2 linked regions of the Coturnix japonica genome follow. The protein of the gene in region 1 purifies or fractionates together with the protein of each later gene. This does not show direct contact. Links are inferred from orthologs where the notes say so. Each region holds a gene or a part of one and is shown in the gene's direction. Other genes may lie near its edges.

Evidence for each region.
Region 2: the proteins of VDAC1 (region 1) and ATP5F1C fractionate together in Homo sapiens (co-fractionation; 3 studies listed by BioGRID, with this or other methods). This does not show direct contact. The link is inferred for Coturnix japonica from reciprocal best matches to the Homo sapiens genes VDAC1 and ATP5F1C.

The regions. Positions count from the first base shown.
Region 1 is NC_029528.1:2,138,158-2,148,174, reverse strand, and holds the start of VDAC1 (voltage-dependent anion-selective channel protein 1), read left to right. Parts: upstream 1-4,224; 5' UTR 4,225-4,358; intron 4,359-4,757; exon of another isoform or gene 4,758-4,779; intron 4,780-10,016; 5' UTR 10,017-10,017. UniProt on the Homo sapiens protein: Non-selective voltage-gated ion channel that mediates the transport of anions and cations through the mitochondrion outer membrane and plasma membrane.
Region 2 is NC_029516.1:3,687,671-3,697,552, forward strand, and holds ATP5F1C (ATP synthase subunit gamma, mitochondrial), read left to right. Parts: upstream 1-3,616; 5' UTR 3,617-3,679; coding exon 3,680-3,723; intron 3,724-4,195; coding exon 4,196-4,230; intron 4,231-4,727; coding exon 4,728-4,859; intron 4,860-5,202; coding exon 5,203-5,407; intron 5,408-5,601; coding exon 5,602-5,745; intron 5,746-6,157; coding exon 6,158-6,222; intron 6,223-6,367; coding exon 6,368-6,523; intron 6,524-7,204; coding exon 7,205-7,301; intron 7,302-8,106; coding exon 8,107-8,113; 3' UTR 8,114-8,144; intron 8,145-8,971; coding exon of another isoform or gene 8,972-8,975; 3' UTR 8,976-9,105; downstream 9,106-9,882. Other genes in the region: KIN (DNA/RNA-binding protein KIN17), read right to left, coding at 248-429, 1,376-1,498, 1,613-1,656, 2,605-2,699, 3,426-3,539.

The DNA.
Region 1 (10,017 bases):
GAGCCTCCCAGGCCATTGTATTATAGATCTGCAGTGGCAAACCCCTCAAAGACACACCCCCAGTAAGAGCTGGGACTGTACTGAACCTCTCAGAGTAATGGAGCTGCATTTCCACACCACAACTGCTGTTTCTCAGAGCTAGGTGGAAAATTGCCTTTCCCTTGTCCAAGGTGGAGTAGATCAAAGAGTTGCATTTCTTCCAGACAAGAACATGCACATCTTTACAGCAAGCTGTTATTACTGTCCTTCTTGCTGGACTTAGGCCAGGCTGGATGCAAACAGGAAACTGAATCCCAAGGAGGATCAGTCCTCTGTTTTTATGTAAACACAGAACTAAAGAGTTTTAATTATTCTTGGCTCCGGTCAGCCCCTGCTCAGCCCTGCCAGGCTCAGCAGGGTGGCAGATGTGACTGGAAGGTCATAGCACTGCTCGCCACCAGCTGTAGGAAATATTCCTTTAGGAATAAATCCTCTTTTTCCTTTTTTCCCCCATATATATATATATATATATATATATATATATATATATATATATATCTCCTATACCCCAACACATGGGCTGGGAGGTGTGGACTGTAACAACCACAGAGCTCCATTCTGGGGATCTGGGAGCAGCTGTGGTGCAGCTCTTCCAGCTCAGTCACCTTCCTCCATCTTCCAGGAAAAAACAACAAAACACTTTTCCATGGAGCAGTCCCCTGCCTTCAGCTGCACACTTGTCTTGTGCTAATGCAGTTCTCAGTTTCCACCCAGGAGTGCAATTACAAGTGCGCTCAAAGTGTGACTTTAATCTGATGCCAGGCCTTGCTCAAAGGGCTGAGGAAAGTATTTTTTTTCTTGCTGCCTCCTGACCATGTCATCCTTCCTCTCAAGTTTCTGATGTTATGTTTGTGCTATTCTTGCCATCCAGCTATGGGGTTAGCTGACCAGCCTGAATATTTGGGGCTGTCTGAGCAGCGTGATTGGGGAGTGGTGGAATGAGCTTGAGAGCTGCTTGATGGCCCCATAAGATCATTAAGGTTGGAAAAGGTCATCAAGTCTAAGCACCAACCCATCGCTGCCACCCCCAACCACATCTGTTCCAGCTCCTTCCCACAAGGTCCCCTGTGGGTGCATTGCTTCCCTGTCAGACTGCCTGGGAAGGAGGTGAAGGATGGGAAAGCTGTGTGTAAAATGACAGTGCAAGAACCATCTGTGTACACCTTTCTGTGTGGGTGTATCTATCTACTCTGGGATGTGCAACCTCTTAATGAACGTTATTTGTTAGCACTAAGGAGGTGAACTCGCTCTGCTCTCCAATAGTAGTTTCTACCATCTCCAGAGCTGACTGTATCCAGAGTTATCTGGCAACAACAGAATTGTATTGTGAGCAGCACCAGAGACATGGGATGTCCTGTGTTATGTACTCACTTCTGTCCAAAGAACAGGAAAAGACCTGCAGGTTGGATGCATCCTATTTTATTGGCTACTGAAATGCAGCTGTGTTTAGGGCTGAGGATGCAGACCCAAAGCTCAGCCACATGTAGGTTTGCACTCATGCATTTTGTTCTTAACTGTACAGAGGAACCCTGAAGTGCTAGACTGCTTTGTATTAATCACATTGGTTTGCAGCTCTGTGACCACAAGTGGAAGCCTTATCTGCCAAATTAATACCAATGCTTCCTTTTACAGCAGCTCTTTGAATTTAAATAGCCTACAAGGAACATTGGCAGGTTTTTATCACTTATCTTACATACCAAATCATTGCTTCCAAGACAAGGTGGTTGTGTAGATTCAGAAATCACCGTGGCTGTCAGGACATCCTGCTGCTGTTATCTGAGATCAAAAGAAGCCGGGGGGAGTTTGCTGTTATTGTGGTCCCCTTTAATTTTCTGGTGTTCTTCTTTTCTTACTTCCTTTGGAGATAGGGATGGAGCTGTATTTGAATCAGCCCAAAGCTGTTGATGTAAAACTCACAACACGGGGCATCTGGGCAGTGTTTTCCCCTCATAATTCCATTTTAGGCAGATCATTCTTACTGGAAATAGAAGAAAAAACCACACAACTTTGCATAGGTTAAACCACGTAAAAATGATGAATGAAAGCACTGCTTCCTGCCCCTGGGTTGTGACAGAACTGAATGGGAAGGAGCACACTTTAACACACAGAAGGGCTGCCTATACCATGCCCTGAGCAGCACCACCACTGCTCCAAACAGACACAGAGCTGAACACCACCAGAAGGTGCTGATCCCATGGCTTTGTGCCTGACTCACATTTATTCCCTGTTCCCACAGCATGAAACTGCACCCAATGCAGGGTCACAGCCACACAGCGCTGGTGATACGGCACTGAGCTGAGAAATAACCCTGCTGATGGATTTATGTAACAAAGAGAGGAACAGGTTTGATTTTTCCACCAAGCACAAACCTCTCTGGGTGCTCAAGAGCCAAAGTTTCCAGCGGTGAGGAATGTTTGGATGGACCTTGTGTGTGAATTATTTGGGGTCTCATTACTTGTGGAATGAATCCATCTTTCTGTGTTCTCTGTTATTCCATTTCCACTCAGATAATGAAATTAAGACATAGCATTATCCAAACAGCAGGCAGGCAAAGTTTGAGAGGGGTCTGATGTCTAGAGGTGCCCAAAATATCTGCGTGCTCTCATTCTGCTGAAGGAATCTCTTTCCTATCGAGTGGCGTCACGAGCAGAGATTTTCCCCTTGGGGACACGCGGTGTAATCCCCGATTATCACCAGCACAATTTTCGGCTCATAGAGCGTATGGAAAATAGAGCCCTGCAGAGCAGCTGTCACCGCTGCCAGCTCCATCCCAGGGCTCTGCTGCCATCTTATGGCAGATACGCGTTATGGAAAGCGGAGCAAACGGTCCTTCCCGGAGCGGCTCCGCTTTGCAGCTCCTTCACCCGCTGCCGCATCACGCAGACACCTCCGGTCCTACCCGTGCCCTCACTGAGGAGTCCTCTGGGATATAAAAACCCCGTGAGTTAGTTAGGAAAAGATGGAGGGAATAGGCTGTATCTCTGCAGAGGATCTCGGCTCTTCTTCTTGTGCTCTTCTTTCTTTTCGTTATGCTCCCTGACTGCAGACAAGAAACGTGCTCCTTGCCAAGCACTTCATGTTCCCACACCTGCTCTTTTACAGCCTGCTTATGGCCTTTATGGTTCTGCTCCAATGCAGACATGGGAGCTTTCCATCAGCTGGAAACTAGATCTGCTCTGATCTGATAGGAAACGCTCATCCACCCCCAAAAATGGGATGAAGTGAACTGCAGAAGTGACTCCCGAGCCCTAGTGCAGGACCAAGACATGGGCTGAGCTGAGCCACCTCTGGGCTCGTGGCCCGGCTCTGGGGCTGTGTTAAGGGCCCTGGTTTATGCTGGTGCCCTTCTGAGTGCTGAGTGCTCCGGGTTTGTTTTCCAGCAGATGACTCTGATCTCCCTGTGACCCACAGCTGTGCAAACTTCTGGGGCAGTGCTGCTGGGAAAGCAATGGGGTGAGCCAAGCAAGAGTTCTGCCACTCGCTGTCTGCTCCTGGTATGCGAAGGAGAAAAGACAGGCAAGGAATCGTTATTAAAAGTAATCATATAAAAACTTGGCATGGGTGGGATGTGGACTCTTTGCAACGACTTTCCTGCCAACCCCCCTCCCCACACGCCGCGGCTATAGGGGCGGTATCAGGACCAGCAGTTCTCCGGGCGGGTTGGTGCCGCTTATCTCCGGGGGACGCTCGGAGCTCCCTGCAGGGCGGAGATGACGGTTCCTATCTCAGCCCGTGCGCAGCCCGGCACCGGCACCGGCACCTGCTGCTTTCCGACAGCGGTGTTGTGCTGCGCTGTGTCACGGGGAGGACGTGGGGTTGGACACAGCCGCAGCTGAGGCTGATTCACGTCTCCAAGAGGCAGTTCTAAAGGTGCCCAACGCCCTCGTTCACCGGAGCATCTCCACGCCCCGCGGCCGGGCCGTGCCCCGCGCTATTCGCCGCCTGCTGACTCACAGCCCGCCCGGCCACCTGCGGGAACGGCAATTCCAACCCAACGCAGCTTCCAGCCGGGGCTGAGCGCCGCGCCACGCAGGTGCTTTAGGGGTGCTGAGCCCTGATCTAACCGGGGCCGTTCGGTGCCGCTGAGTCCCGGGGAGGGCTCCCGGCACCCGGTGCGGCGGCAGAGCCCGCCCCTTCCCGCCCCCGCCGTCTGTCCCCTCCCTGCCGTCCCCGCCCGCCGTCACGCAGCCGCCACCGCAGAGCCCGGGGAGGCGCCGGGCCGGGGCCGGAACAGGGACGGGGACCGGGGGGGCCGCAGGAGCCCGAGGCGGCGCCGGGAGCGGGAGCGCAGCGCGGTGCTGCCGCCGCGGCGGGGCCAGGTAGGGCCAGGGGGGTCCGGAGCGCCGGGTCACCGTGGTGCGGGGGGGGGCGGCCGGCGCCGGGTGGCAGCTGGCGGCGGCTCGTGGCAGTTGTTCTTTTTGCCCTCCGAGCCGCGTCACATCGGGAATAACTGTTTTCTTACGTAATGTTCGGCACCCGGTTACGAAATCACGGCGCGGCGCCGGGGCCGTGACAGCTGAGGCCGGGCGTGACGGAGCCCCCCGGGTCGGGAGCCGCGGCTGGGGGCGGTGTGAGCCGCGGGGCTCCCGGCGCTGCGCTGCCCCTGCGCCGAGCGAAGGTCGGCGGCCGCGCCCGGCACCTGCACTGCCCCGCTCCGGCTGCGTGGGGACGCGGGGGGGCAGCGCGGTGGCCTCGGGTCACCTCGGAAGCTCAGAGCGGCCGAGCCGCGGCCCTTCGCTGGTTGGTTTCACTTGCGTTTATTCTTCAAGTTCAGTTCTCGCGGTGGGGGGAAATGGCCGTCTGGAAACGTGCACGAGTCGGGTTTGCACTGGGAGCTCTGGGCGGCTGCGGTGGGAGCTGCCTCCATTGTGCATCGTCACAGCCTCGCTGGGTACAACAGCTGCTGGAGGGTGATGGAGACCGTCCGACATGGGGGGTTTGGTTTAAAAAAAAGGAAAAAGAGAGAAAAACGTCAGAACGCGAAGCAGAGCTGACTCATCCTGCCCGAGCCGTGCACGCCGCGGAATATTGTGGGGAATGTTCGTGGCGATGCTGACACCGCGCTGTGATGGGGGTCAGGAGCACTTGGAGGTTTCTGCTCAGTGCAGGGGATGCTCGAGGGTTCGGGTTGGATATCAGGAGCGATTTCCATCGGTGATGGACAGGCATGGGCTGCGCAGGGAGCGGGGGTCGCCATCCGCAGAGCTGCTCCAGAATGTGGGGACGTGGCACCTGGGGACACATCAATGGGCGCAGTGGGGCTGGGGTTGGATTTAATGGTCTTGGATGATCTTTTCAACTTTAATGATTCTGTGATTCGTCTGCCTCAGGGAATTTAATCAGTGTGATCTGCTCAGAGTTCCTTCCAAAAAGGCCTTATGAAGGCAACCTACTATAATCCCCACACCCAGAATGCTCTGTGGAAGGCATACACATATCCACAGCCTGCACCCTTTATTCCAGCCTGTTTGGGACTGTGATGACATGTGGGGCATCAATGGGGATGTGGGGCATTAATGGGGTTGCCCTGGCAGCAGGAGTGATGTCCCCATGGGATGCAGTCAGGGAGCTCCTCACCTATGTGTGCTGCAGGGAGAGAGAACCCATATTGCTCTTCTTTGGTGCTGGAGGAGCAAGGTGTCAAAACGTGCTGGGAGGGGAGGTGTTGTTTCAATGAGTCACCCCTATTGGTGGATGTGAGGCATTGCTGCAGAGGGGCCGGGCACAAGGGATGTGTCCCTGAGCACGTTTGAGCTGAGCCCCCTTGGGTGCACGGAGAGCCCTGAACTGCTGGGAGTGACAGCAGCGCTGCTCCTTTCCTGGTCTGCAGGCGGCTGGAAGGAGCCGAGAGTTACTGTCATTTCTTAATTCAATGCACGGCATGTGCACTTCTTCCTCCTTGCACTTCTAATGCAAACAGCAGCTACAACAGGCTGCGGCATCCCCAGCTCTGTTAAATTGATATTTATGTGTGATCGCTTAATTAGGGGGTTTGGTACAACACTGCTCATAATTTATACCCGTGCAATTAAGAGCAGACTCTTTCTTTCTTTAATTCTGTAAATATTAGTTCAGGCTAAATCACAGTATTTACGTTTGCTTTTAAGCTGTTTATTTCCCTTCTGCTCCAGTGTTTGTTGTGCTACAGATCCATGGCATCAATCCATCCTTAAAGATGAAATCTGCTCTATGGTGCATGTAGTTTGAAAGCAGAGCTGCAGTGGGAAGGCTGTGGTCCTGCAGGTGCTGTAGATCATCACAAGGACGCTGCACATTTTCACTATTACCTGCATGAATGAAACTGCAGACTGCAGGGCTGTAAATCTTGAGCCATGCAGCTCTGTGGATGTGTGATGGCACAGCACACGTTGGGGCAGAGAATCTTATCGTGTGCTCTGTTCCATAATGCAGAGCATTTACAAACTTCAGGCATCTCCTAAAGCTCATATCTGTGCCTGACGTGGTGTGTGACCCCATGGCACTACCTGGTGATTTGTGGCTTCATTTATTTTCACGTCTCTGCAGAACTGGGACTCTGAGCACGCTGCCACCAGGGCTCAAATGGCCTTGAGATGTGAGTGGGGAAAACCAAACTGCACAGGCAGTGCTGGGCACAGCAGTGAGTGCAGCACCTGGCAGGGCAGGGGGCTGTGCCCACACATTGAGCGCTGTGGGCTATTGCAGATAAACCACAAGGGGAAATAAATGGCTGCATATCTGCGAGCCCAGAAATGTGCTTAAGAGCTACTTCATACCAAGGAATAGTTTTTCTTTCCATAAAGGAGCTGAATAGGAAGTGTATCAGGTTTTTTTTGGTCTTGAGGCGGAAGATCCTCACGTGGTGATACCAGCATTGGTTGGTGTCACAGCCTGATGCGGTTCCTCCCAGCCCATGTATCATAGAGATGCGTCCCTTGGCATCTGCTGTGCACCAGAGCTGTAGTGCTCATCCTCACGGGCACAGGGAGCAGAAGCATTTAGACCTGTGGGTATCAGTCAAGGAATGCTGCGCAGGTTCAAGTTTATTAGGAAAAATGTGACTAGAGTAACATTAAATCCAGCCTTTTTGTTTTCTTAACCTCAAATCTGATAGACTCCCATTGTCCTGTTGGAAGCTTAATCATCCATTGGTTATATTCTTAATTTTTTTTGAGAGCTCCTCCCCTCGTTTAAGTGTCATGTAGTTGATCAGTCTGTGTAGGGAAGCATCAAGTAAGAGAGTAACCCATCACAGAGACAGACTCACATTTACAAAGGACTCCCTGATGGCTTTTGCTGTCTGCTGGGGCCAAGTTTGCTTTCATCCCCAGACCCACCCTGCAGAGTGAAACTGCCATCTGTGACACTGGGAAATATTTCAGTGCCTTCTGCTGGGCTGCCTTGTGTTCAGAGAAATCTTGGCTGGGGCTGTGGGTGCCTCAGTCACGACTCGCATGGCAGTGTTACCCATTCAAGAACATGGAAATATTTTACTACTTAAACATGTAGTACGTGACCTCCCTGGTCTGCTTTGTGCTGGAGCTGGTATATGTGGTCACTCTGAGATGCTTGCACAATTGGAGAAGGATGAGAGCAATGATTTCATTTCACTCCTACCCTAATCTGAGTTAATGTGCTGAGATCCTACTGGTGAAAAGCAAGGGCACTTGGCCACGGCCATGCCTTGATCCTTTAAGAGTTTGAATCCCCGCTAAGCATGCTTGTCTTCCAACCTGCACTCACACAGGATGTAATCAGTTTTGTTTTCCATCTGTTAAACAAGAGGCTTTGATTAGCCCATGCAAACAGAAATAATTATTTTTCTTCTTGCTGATGATGACAACAGCAGAGTTAACCAGCACGTGCATATTTCATCACCTTTCCCACACTCGCAATTGCAAGCACCTTGTTCTGTGTGTTTTACCTGATTTGCCTTACAACAGGGATTTGGCTTCCAGTATTGTCCCTTAATTATAGTAATTGCCTAAGTGGAGATCTCAGCATCTCCTGCTGTCCCGTGGCAGCCCTGTCTGTGCTGCAGCCTGACCTGGCCTGTCCACCTGGCAAATACAAACGCTCTGCTCAGCCCAACCCAAACTCACAAGGCTTCCAATTTTCGAGGAAATAGTTTGATTTTTATGGAGTGACTCAAAGGGGCTGCTGGTAAAATATGTCTGATAGATGCCAATGTGCAGCTGGAGGAGCAGTGTGGTCTGATTGTCCAATGGAGAGATTGTAGCATTCTGAATTTTTGATGATGCTAAATGGAAATACCCATCAGAGGGTTCTCCTGAGACCGGGCTGCTCTGGCTGGGAAGATGCATTCCTCAGCCTTAGTGACCCATCCCTCCATATCCTGTGCTGGGGGCCCTATTAATTCCACTGAGCTCTGCCCCAGGCTGTGATCTCCAGCTCGTGGTGCTGTGCTCTTGGGGACCTCAGTTGAGGAGCAGAGGATCTCCTCAGAGATGTTTTTAAGTACTTGGTTTGTTCATTGGTGGATTTCTAAAGGATGGTTTTGTGTTTCCAGAATCACACCTGATCCGCTGTTGAGATGGTTTGTCCTGTAGAGAGCAGTGCTTGCAAACTTTAAATCCCAGCATTCACAATTCTGTAAGAAATGGAGACATTTAGGCCTGATGTGATCCAAAGATCAGTGATGCAGTGGCACAGCTGGCTGGGGGTTGGGAGGTGGGAGTCCCCAACCCTGGTGGTGTTCCAGAGCTGTGGGGATGTGGCACTGGGGGACACAGTGGGGTGGGGTTGGACTCAGTCACCTTGGAAGTCCTTTCCAACCTTAATGATTCTGTGATTCCACGCAGGTAATGTCCCCAGCTGAAGCTGCACTGCAGCGTGCACTTTGCTTTCAGTGCGTTCTGTGAACATCGTTGGCTTTGATTCAGCCACCAGATCCAGTTTGTTCCCTCCAGGATAGGGATTCCTCGCTTATGCAATAGCAATATCCTGCTTCAACAGGCAACGGCTTGTTGGGCCAAGCAGCTGCCCAAAGGAATGCCTATCTGCAGCTCGTGGGGTGGTACCTGCCCAAAGAGGCTGCAGGCTGTGGCAAGGCTGCGTCCCTGGTGCTCACAGCCGGCTGCTCTGCTTGTGGCTGAAGGGAAGAGCTTGCTGCTTAGGTTGGCTGGAGCTGTGCTGCAGTGAGAGCCAGCTCTACATGTGTGGTTCATCTTCACATTTATAAAATGAAGTCTTGCATAAAAAGGCAGGAGGTGGACATCTTATCACTTCACTTTGCATCCCTAGAACAAATGAATATGGGTTTGGATGGTTTGTTCCTCTCAGGATCACGTGTAGCATCCATTCAGTCCTCGTTCTTCTCAACAAGTTTGTTTTTTCCCTAGAAAAGCACCTCCAGGTCAATGGCTAAAGAGAAATTGTATCTGTTCACAGCAATTCTGGAGTCAAAGAAAATGGAAGGTGAAGGATGCCCGTTTGTTGAGTTTGCTAACATCAATGTTAGCCATTTGCTGCTGTCAGTTAGGGACGGGTGGGAGCTGCAGCTGCTGGATGTCTGTGCTGGTTACATTCGCTGAGCAGATGACCTTGGGGTTCTAATTCCTTGCATCAGAATGCATAGATCGGTTGCAAGAAATGGGAGAAATGTTTCCTAGAAGTTGATTAAAAAGTTATTCATTCATGTGGTTCTAGTGATAAGGGCACAGCTGGTAACCCTTTGGAAAGGCATGGGCAACTTATGTGGGTTTTGGGGGTTCTTTTTAATGTATTTGTTCTGTAGTGTTTAGTGTTTCTCATCCTCAGTGGTAAATGCGTGTTTATCACATAGCAAAAGGACAAACTCAAACCTCAGCATTTGCTGTAGCTGCTTTCTTCAGCCTGTACTTAATTGATGGGTTTAGATAGAAAATAAAACCATCTGAAACTGAGGAATTTGGTTTAATTGCTTTTTGCTTAATCAAATTAAATAAACAGCTTTCTGAACATAGTAACTGTGCCCTCTTTTTTTCCTTCCCCCCCAGA
Region 2 (9,882 bases), on another chromosome or scaffold:
GCAAAATGGGCATGAGAATTATCTGCGAGAAGAATATTTCTCAGTTTAGGAACAACCAACTGTGCAGCCACATATAACCCACTGTTGCCCCGTTTGAACTAGCAATCAGCTCACAACCCACTGCACAAAGATTACTCATCACCTTCTAGCTGGCTGCAATGGAAATAGCAGTGGAAAGACCAGGGAAGCATTACTGACTTAACTGAGAGGACTTTTGAGCTGAAGATTGATAGATAATTTTTCTCACCAGTTCTTTCCCCTCCAAACCTCTTCTAACTTGCTGTTCAATGAATTTTGCTGTTTTTTCTTCATCATCGAGGTCTTGTTTCTTTTTTCTCTCTTGTTCTTGTTGCCTGCGAATGGTCTCTGGGTCCCTATCAATGTACTGAATATACCAGCCTTTTGGAGTCTCATCAACCTTACAAAGGCCTAAAAACCCAACACAAGACAAAGTAAGATGAATACTAACAAAAACAAGAAAGTAACAAAAAAACCCATCATTTTCCTAGGCCACGTTCAATATAAGAATGTAAAAACTTCACCAGATGTACCTTTACAATGTATCTCTTACCGGACTTGTAAAATTGACTTTAAATTGCCCTTAGTAACTACTTATGCCCTTAAGCTAGCAAGTTCTATTTGGAAATGAGCCAAAATATGTAGTAAAAGAGGATGGAACATTCTGTATCACTTTCCTTATGGAAGAAAACATTTCCTTCTCATTGTTTTAACAGGGAAGAAAACAGCACTCTAACATATATAAACACTACAGAGCAACAGCATCAAACTATAGGAAACTTTACTGTGCAACACTGTTGTTACTGGCACTCATTAGAGTGACTTTTCAAGCACTCTGTGACTCATGAATGTATCCTGTAGCACACAGAGGACTGAAACCAATTTAAACATTACACAGCACTGTGGTATGACATAACCTCTGCTCCTCCCACGGAAAGCAAAACTGCAGATGTCAGATTTGAAGCTTGTATTAGGATAGGAATGAAAACAATATAACGCTTCTTGTCACCACATATACTGAGGGATTCTGGAGTTGTAAGAAATGTCCTATCATAGTTCACACTTTTTAAATGACAACTGTTGGAAGCTGACTTAGAATTTAGCAACAGCTACAAGGAAAAAACAAGGAAAGGTTTGTAAGTGATACATTTATCTCAGATCTCTGCCACTTTTCATAAGGAAATTCCATTGCTTAATACAGAACTCTATTTGGATATGTGTTAATATAGATGCAGGAGGGGAGGGTTATGGAAGAAAAGGAAACAGGAGAATTAACACAAATGCTTACTGATTACTCATCAACAAAGCAACTACCCAATAGTTTTATAATGTCATAACCCATAACAACAATATTTACCTTCTCTCCCCAACCATTTTGTAAAATCAGTCAGTGTCTCCCATTGCGTTGCATTCATGTGGATGTGTTCTCGGTGACTGATGTATTCGTTGTACACGATGTTATTGTGGACTCTCTTTGTTCCTAAAACAGAGTTATTATGAAGTGTAAGTATGGGACCCAGGAGAAACCAACCAAAACTTTCTGCACAAAATCAAAAGGCATTAAAAGCAAAAGAAAAAAAAGTAAAATATTTACCAAATCGTCTCCTGAGCAGTTCTAAGAAATCATTCCGGAACTCCCTTAGGGGATATAAAGAAAAGGATTTAAACCAAAATTATGTAATTACACAGAAATGTTCAATTGTCATTAATAATGAAATATCTGCAGTATAGACTATTCTTTTGAACTGAGTACGATGAAGTTCAGACACCTGTTTCCCACCTTTGGTAAGACAGCGTGAAGTGCAGCCTGTATACACAAAGAGACACAGTATGGTACATGCACACACAAGTTTAATCTTCTAAAGGATAATACCCTTTCAAAGGGATAAAATGGAAAGAACTGAACTCTAAACACTTCCCACTAATTGCTGGTATTTCATTACCAGGTATCTCCCAAGGTTGACTAACACTGACACAAAACACGAGGCAGAACAAAGCGAAGTAGTGGTAGACTGGGTAGACAGATCACTCATCTCCCTGCTAATTCAATGGCTTAAAGATAAAGCCTCCCTTCAGCCTCACGCTGAAGACAGTTCCAGTCAGCCCTGCAGTCAGGTAGGTCAGATGGACAAAGGGATCAGGGGAACAGTGGGATGTTATTCATACAGCTGACTCCTTATCTTCATGTGATGGTTCTTTTAGCTCTTTGTAATTCTGCAGCTCTGACAGTCACTTAGCTGGGACACAAGCAGTGACATGCTTCATAATGAAGAGCAAATTAAAACAGGACTCGGGCATGGAATAAAATTATCAAGTTTGGGATTAAAAAAATAAAAGGATCTGGGATAAAAATTGCCACATTTGGGATAAAAAAAGAAGTTAAATGAGATAGAATTGTCAACTTTTAAATATCACAGCACCCTTACACTTACATGCTTTCAAAAGCAAACTTTTCACATAGTCACTATATGAAACAGCCGACACTAAAATACATCAGAATCAAGTGTCTTCAATGGGACATAACTGGGCTTTAGGGGTATGGCCGTGCAGATTTGACACATGGGTAAGAATACATGGCAAACTTACTCAGAAAAGTAGTTCAGGAATTGCTGAGGATTTTCAGAAGCCAGCAGTAATTGCCTCTGGTGAGATTCAGACATGCAATGACATTTGAAGCCATTCTGGAAAATAAAGAAAAACATTTTATCTGCCTTTGTCTCCATTTGCAACACACAGCTTTAAAAGTAAATTAAGATATTGTTTTCTAAGTGAAATCTCTTGGAGGCTTTCACATAAAACACTCAAACCCAACCACAGTCTAGCAATACAGATTGGCTGTTTCTCCTAACTAGGACATAACAAAGGTCCTCTTGCTCCCTTGTGGAATGGGATCGATGTGGCACCACCTGGTCCATCTATCCAGGCAAAAGGAGTGGAAATACTTGCTGATTCCCCGCCTGACATGCACTCAGATGTTGGAGGTTTGGCTACACCCTTCAAATGAACAGAGAAGTGAAAACAGGGGGAAGCATCAGAGAAAAATCATCTCTTTATAACAGGAGAAGGAGGGAAGAAACAGACAGAATCAGAAGGTTGGAAAGAGACCTTGCTTGTGATTTCAAGGCTTGCATGTCCAAAGCACAACTACCCCAGACTCCTGATGGAATAATTCCTAACCCTTTCAGGGCATCCTAATGGGGTTAAGAAAAGCTCAGGACCATGTTTTCTCCAAAACACTTCAGGGCTTTCCCCCACAGGGTTTATAATGGCATATATCCCTAGCCCAGGTGGTTGGGAACCCCTCAAACCCCACTCAGCCCTTCATATCATACATGAGGGATCAGGAACCCCACAGAGAAACGGAGGACCCCAAAGCACCAAACACAGCCCGGCCCGCTTCACCTCACCTCATCTCGGCACTGCTTCTGGCACATCTGGCAGTACCAGCGTAGCTTCTGCAGCCCTTTAGACTTAATGCGGTTGGCGATAGCCTTTGGGCTGAGGAAATCCGACTTCCCCATGGCGTTTTCTACCTTTTTTCACCCCTTATTTTCTCGTCCCGGATGAGACGGAGCGACCTCGGAAGCGATCATCGAGGCTCCGGGCGCCTGCGCGGGACGGGCGGGCTGACCTTCAGCAGAGCTGGGCTGCAGGCGCCGCCATGTTCGCGCGGGGCTCCGCCGTGGTGCTGTACCAGCCGCAATGGTAAAGGGGGGAAACCAGCGGGTTGTGGTTACCGGGTTGTGCCTGAGAGGGGCTGGGGGTTCGTGGAGGAACGAGGGAACGCGGGGATGTGGGGAGGATGGAGGGCTCTGTCCTCCGCTTTGCGGGCCTGAGGCTGGTTGGAGGTGGAAGGGCGCTCTGTGTGAGGTGAATGGCACTGCAGGGACGTCCTGCTGATGGCTGCGAGCCCCGCTGTTTCGTTGTTTTAATCGTTTAAAAAAGAAAGAAAGCTCTGTTTTTCGTGTGTATTTGCCCTTCTGACGCCCTTCTGCGTGGCCTTTGTTTTCGTTGTCACACAAAAAATGTGAAAGGTTTGTTATAAGGCCTCGTTTTGAAGTGTCCTTACTAAGAAATGGGTGTTTCTATATGCTCTCTGAAGAGACCTGACCTTGATGGATATTTGCTTGCTGGAGAGCTAATGATCTCTCCTAATCACTCCTGCTTTCACTTCCAGGGGCCAAGTCAGGAATATGGCAACTCTGAAAGACAGTAAGTGCTGCTTTTGTCTGCTTTGAACAGAAGGGAAATGCAGGAGGTGTTAAATTAAAGCATGATTTCACTTGGCTTCTGTCGGATGAAGTGATGGTTGTGGATTGTAACACTGACATGTGAGCCTCCAGCACTTGTGTCAAACAAGTGTCCTTCATAAACTTCCCCCCCCTTCAGGGGGAAGATCTTTACTATGAGAGTGGTGAGGTGATGGCACAGCCTGCCCAGAGAGGTTGTGGATGCTCCGTCCCTAGAGGTATTCAAGGCTGGGTTGGATGGGGCCCTGGGCAGCCTGGTCTGATGGTTGGCAACCTTGCACACATCAGGGGGGTTGAAGCTAGATAGTCATTGTGATCCTTTTCAACTCAAGCCATTCTATGATTCTATGAACTTCAGGAGAGATTTCTGGATAGCCATTGCTTATGTTTTATTGTTTGCTTTCAATCTCTTGTGCTCAATGTAGCCCAATTTTGACCTTCAGCTTTTAACCTTGTTAGTTACCAGGCGCTTGAAATCCATCAAGAACATTCAGAAAATTACAAAGTCCATGAAGATGGTTTCTGCAGCAAAGTATGCAAGAGCTGAGAGGGAGCTGAAGCCTGCTAGAATATATGGAACAGGAGCACTGGGTGAGAGAAGGCTCTTGCTACCAAACATACTTTTAAATGCTTGAACTGCACATGCTTCTCAAACATTGCACTTGCAGTCAGTGTCACTGTTTACTTGTAGTTCACTATAATACCTGACACAAAGATGCAGGTGGCTTTGAATTACTTCTTTATCACCTTTGGTCAGCTAACCTGCAAGCTTGAATGATTGTGATGGAGATAAAAATGCATCTGGTTGCGATTTGAAACAATTTGGAAATGATTTATGAAATTTGAAGTTAGTTGAAGATGTTTTGATAGGACAGATTTTCTTCTTGACCCCCTTGAATATCTTGCCCATCTTGTTCGTTTTGTTTTTCCTCAGCACTGTATGAGAAAGCAGAAATTAAGGCACCCGAGGACAAGAAGAAGTATCTCCTTATTGGCGTGTCCTCTGATCGAGGTCTGTGTGGTGCTATCCATACATCTATTGCTAAGACCTTGAAGAATGAGATTACCAACCTCTCCAATGCAGGGAAGGAAGTTATGGTGGTTGGTGTAGGCGACAAGATTAGAGGCCTACTTCAAAGGTAAAAAGGGAGAGGGGTTTGGTTTTGGTCATGCTGGTGTATCATAATTTAACTGAGGGATGGGGGCAGGAAAGCCAAGTGAAATGCTTAGTTGTTGAACATTAGCAGTTAGTGCTGCTGCTTGCCTCTTGGTGCCACACAGCTGTGCATTGGAGCACCAACTTGCTCCTGACGCATATTTCACATTACTACAGGACACATGGCAATTACTTCTTGATGACATTCAAAGAAGTGGGACGGAGACCTCCCAGTTTTGGAGATGCTTCAATCATTGCTTCAGAGTTATTAAACTCTGGATATGAATTTGATGAAGGCTCTGTCATCTACAATCGGTTCAGGTAAGATAAAACTGAAGCTGCACTAGGAAGATGTTGAATAGATTTCAAAACAGCATATTGGTTGAATTAAGTAAAATGGGAAAACTGTTCAGATTTTGTTGAAAAGTCAGTGCATCTTCTTATTATGTGTGAAGAACATGTTTGCCATGGGTATTTTTTAATAGATATGGTTGAAATTCTATAGTGTTTCGAAGCACTATAGTTTCTAAACACATTTTCTATAGCATGCGCTGTTGTGTTTACAGTCAGTACATTATTATATCCTTAGGTTATTTGATATCTCCTCATGGGGAGCACAACAAGACTTTGAAGAATTGGAAGGCCAGAAGTTGTCTGTGTCCTAACTTGATATCAAATGCTCAGTTTAGGCTCTTCAGTCAAATAAAACCTATTATGCTATTTTTTTATACAGATCTGTCATCTCCTACAAGACTGATGAAAAACCTATCTACTCTTTTGAAACAGTTGCTGGTTCTGGTAAGTACTTGTGAAAGTACACGTAAGGTGACATGGAGGGATGTAGTAAATGGAGAAAAGCTAATTTAGTCGTTTTCTATATGACGTTGTATCATTACAATTAGTACAGCCTGCAGTTCTGACTCGACTCATTCCTATTTTTCAGAAAGCTTGAGTATCTATGATGACATTGATGCTGATGTGCTGAGAAACTACCAGGAATTTACACTAGCAAATATTCTGTACTACTCCCTGAAAGAATCTACCACCAGCGAGCAGAGCGCTAGGATGACTGCTATGGACAACGCAAGCAAAAATGCTTGTAAGTCTATATGGATTTTCTAGGTGTTGGTGTCTGTCGTGTTGCTGGTCTGAGGATTTTGAGAATATGAAGATGAGAATATGCTGGTATACCTTGTAAAGTGTCCAAACTGAGTGCACTGCAGTTGGTATCGGTGGGCAATGGCTAATAGCATTTAATGTGGCATAGTGATATGATTCCAGCTTCAAGAAGATAGCGATGCATAAAAAATACTGATGGCTGAATGAAGCTTATGTTTTATGCAGTAGGGTTACCTGGAACTGTAAGTATGGGTCTCTGCTGATCTCTTTATCTTGAATGTAGTGATAAAGTCTCCATTAAAAAATAGGAAGAATGGCTCCGTTTGCCAGAACACAGAACTTGAAGGAAATACTGTTGTTGATTGAGGGACATTAACGATGCAATAATACACAATTGGAATTCATTTAAAAATGAGTGATGTGCTACAAGATATTTACTAGTCTGTCGGCTGTTCTTCATATGTTTAATTCTGATGCCTCAAGACAAATTATCCCCTTTCTAGATTGTCTGTTAGTAGTGTTATCTGTAGGGAAAACTGGAAAGTCCAGTAAGCCACTTGATCATACACATGGATCTACAAGTCTACGTGGTATTCTATTCATAGAACTTGTATTTGAATGGTCATTATATGCTTAAATTCCAACTTTAATTTTTTCCTAGCTGAGATGATCGACAAACTGACTTTGACATTCAACCGTACCCGTCAAGCAGTTATTACTAAGGAGCTTATTGAGATCATCTCTGGTGCTGCTGCTCTGTGAGTACCTGTATACCAATGAAACAGATGTGGTTGCAATGTGATGTAATGCTCATGCCCTCCTTCAGGCGGGTTAACAGGGAAGGTTAAGGCATGAAAAGCAGGACAATCCATGGCATTGCTTCCATGCTTTGCTTGTGGCAATTGTACTAACAAGTGTGGTGAAATTTGACCAGGTATAATTGAAATGCCGGTAGACTATATCTTAAACCTTGACACAAATCCTTGACTGAGCAGGGAAAGTTTTCTGCTCCTTCTTCTTCCACTTGGATTCTTCATACTCTGCTCAAATAGCCCAGTTCATTGTTGTAGAACAGTTTTGGATGCATAGAGAGCAATTCAGGTGACTGAGACGCCTTTGGAGAAATCATTCTGTGATGGTGTGTGGGGGGTTGGGGTTGGAAGGAGAAATATAGCTGGCATCAATGGATTCTGGATATATGTATGATAAATGTTGAAGCCGAGTATATTGCTGCATTGCCTGAGAATGAAGTTTTGCAACTGTGTGTTCTATAGGTTACAAAATGTGTGGGCTTAGACCACAATTTGTAACCACATGTAGATGACGTGCATTCCATCTAACTGTTAAAAACGTTGTGCTATGCTCAAAGATGTAAGTATGTGTGGTGATATTCTGTGTATTTGCAAAATGTCTGGAATACGTAACACATTGCAGTTCTGAGCTGTATTATGTCCCTCACAATACAGTCATAAATACTTGCATAGTTTTGCCTTAATTTGCATGATTTGCTTCTTAACCTGCTTGTTCTGTTGTGTTTTTTTTTCCTCATAACATCTTAACCAGGGATTAATCGGCAAAAGAGGTTTGGCCAAATCCAAGAGGTAAAGTTATGGAATAGAGACTAGATTGTCTGTATTAATCTATTTTTAAATGCAATCTTGAAGCCAGATGAGAAAGTCTGAATTCAGAGATAGCAGTCAGACCCATTTCTTCTCCCACACATGTAGGAAATAGCCATTGCTTTCTGTTTGGGCAGATACAAGCACCAATAAATCTTAAACAAAACACATCCATGATAGCATACATCTGCATTTAACAGGTTTCTGACAATATTGCTGACAATAGCAGGACACGTGGAAATGGTTTTAAGTTAAAAGAGGGAAGATTTAGGTTGGATGTTAGGGGGAAGTTCTTCACTAGGAGAGTGGTTAGGCCCTGGAACAGGCTGCCCAGGGAGGTTGTGGATGCCCCGTCCTTGGAGGTGTTCAAGACCAGGTTGGACGGGGCCCTGGGCAACCTGATCTAGTAAAGGTGTATGTTTGGTGGCCCTGCCAGGCAGGGGGGTTGGAACTACATGATCCTTGAGGTCCCTTCCAACCCGGGTCATTCTGTAATTCTGTGATTTCTGTGGGTTTGTTTAATCTTTGAGTTATTGGATCGATTTGAAAGTATTGCTTCATATTTTCATAATGCCCTGACATTGGGCTGTGACTTAAAATGCCTGTTTGTAAAACATTACTCCTGAAGAGGAGTTTGTAGCAAAATAAGCACTTAAAGCTTCAAATAGAGAGAGTCGGAGGGGAGGAGGGTGTAAGGAAGAATGAATTCTTAAGGCACTGAAATCTTAAGGCACTTAAAATCAGAGGTGATGCATCTTAAAAAGAAGCATTGATTGAAAGATATTAATTTGTTTCAATTTGCCTTACAGGTGAAGAATAATTCTGAGCGTCTGATTGAACTCGCCTGTGTTCATTAATAAGACAGCTCTGCTATTTTGTGAAGAAGCGGCGAAGCCCCAGAAATATCTGTACATTCTTACAATAAACTCCTTCATGAGACACACATTATTGGTTGTCGATGCCTTTGGGTTTGACTCGGTTACTCTTTGAAACGTAGGGGTTATGTTTAAAGCCGTGCTCTGTATTTTGTAATTCCTGGTATAGAAAGTCAGCTGTCCTGGAAGCTGTAGCATCAAGTGCTGCTGGATCAGTGCAATTCCTCATTCACAGCCACAGACCTGAAGTTTCTTAAGAACAGTTTTATTTAGGACACTTAAATCAAGCTTTGGCCCTAATGTTCTCTGACTTTGGAGTCGCTGTGGTAGATACAGCAATTGCTCCACATCAAAGTTTATGTGCTAATGGTATATTAAATATTTCTTTATGGAACCCAAGGAATAGCATGTTTACAGGGCAGTTATATCCAAGCTCTTGAATCCTAAGTTAATTAATTAATGGTAACTTAATGTGGTTTCAAAAAGGGGCCTGTGCATTTGCAGGCCTTTAGAACACTCATATATTTCAATGAACACTAATATATTTCATATATTTCAAAGCTTTGGGAGGCTGGTTCAGCACTCAGAGCTTCTCCATGGATTGAAGAGAGTAAGCAAAGCACACACACCTGTCCTAAGCAGTGATGAACTGCAGGACTTTATCATGGGTCCAGCTACCTGCACTACAGCAGGCTCGGGATGGGACTGATCTAATAGACTATAGACTGTTAATTGACTAATCAGCACTCTAATAAATCAAGCAGCCAACTTGTCAACTGATCAACTTCTCATAAGACACCACTCCTATTTAGTCCTGTGCTTCTCGCTCCAGTTACAAACTCACT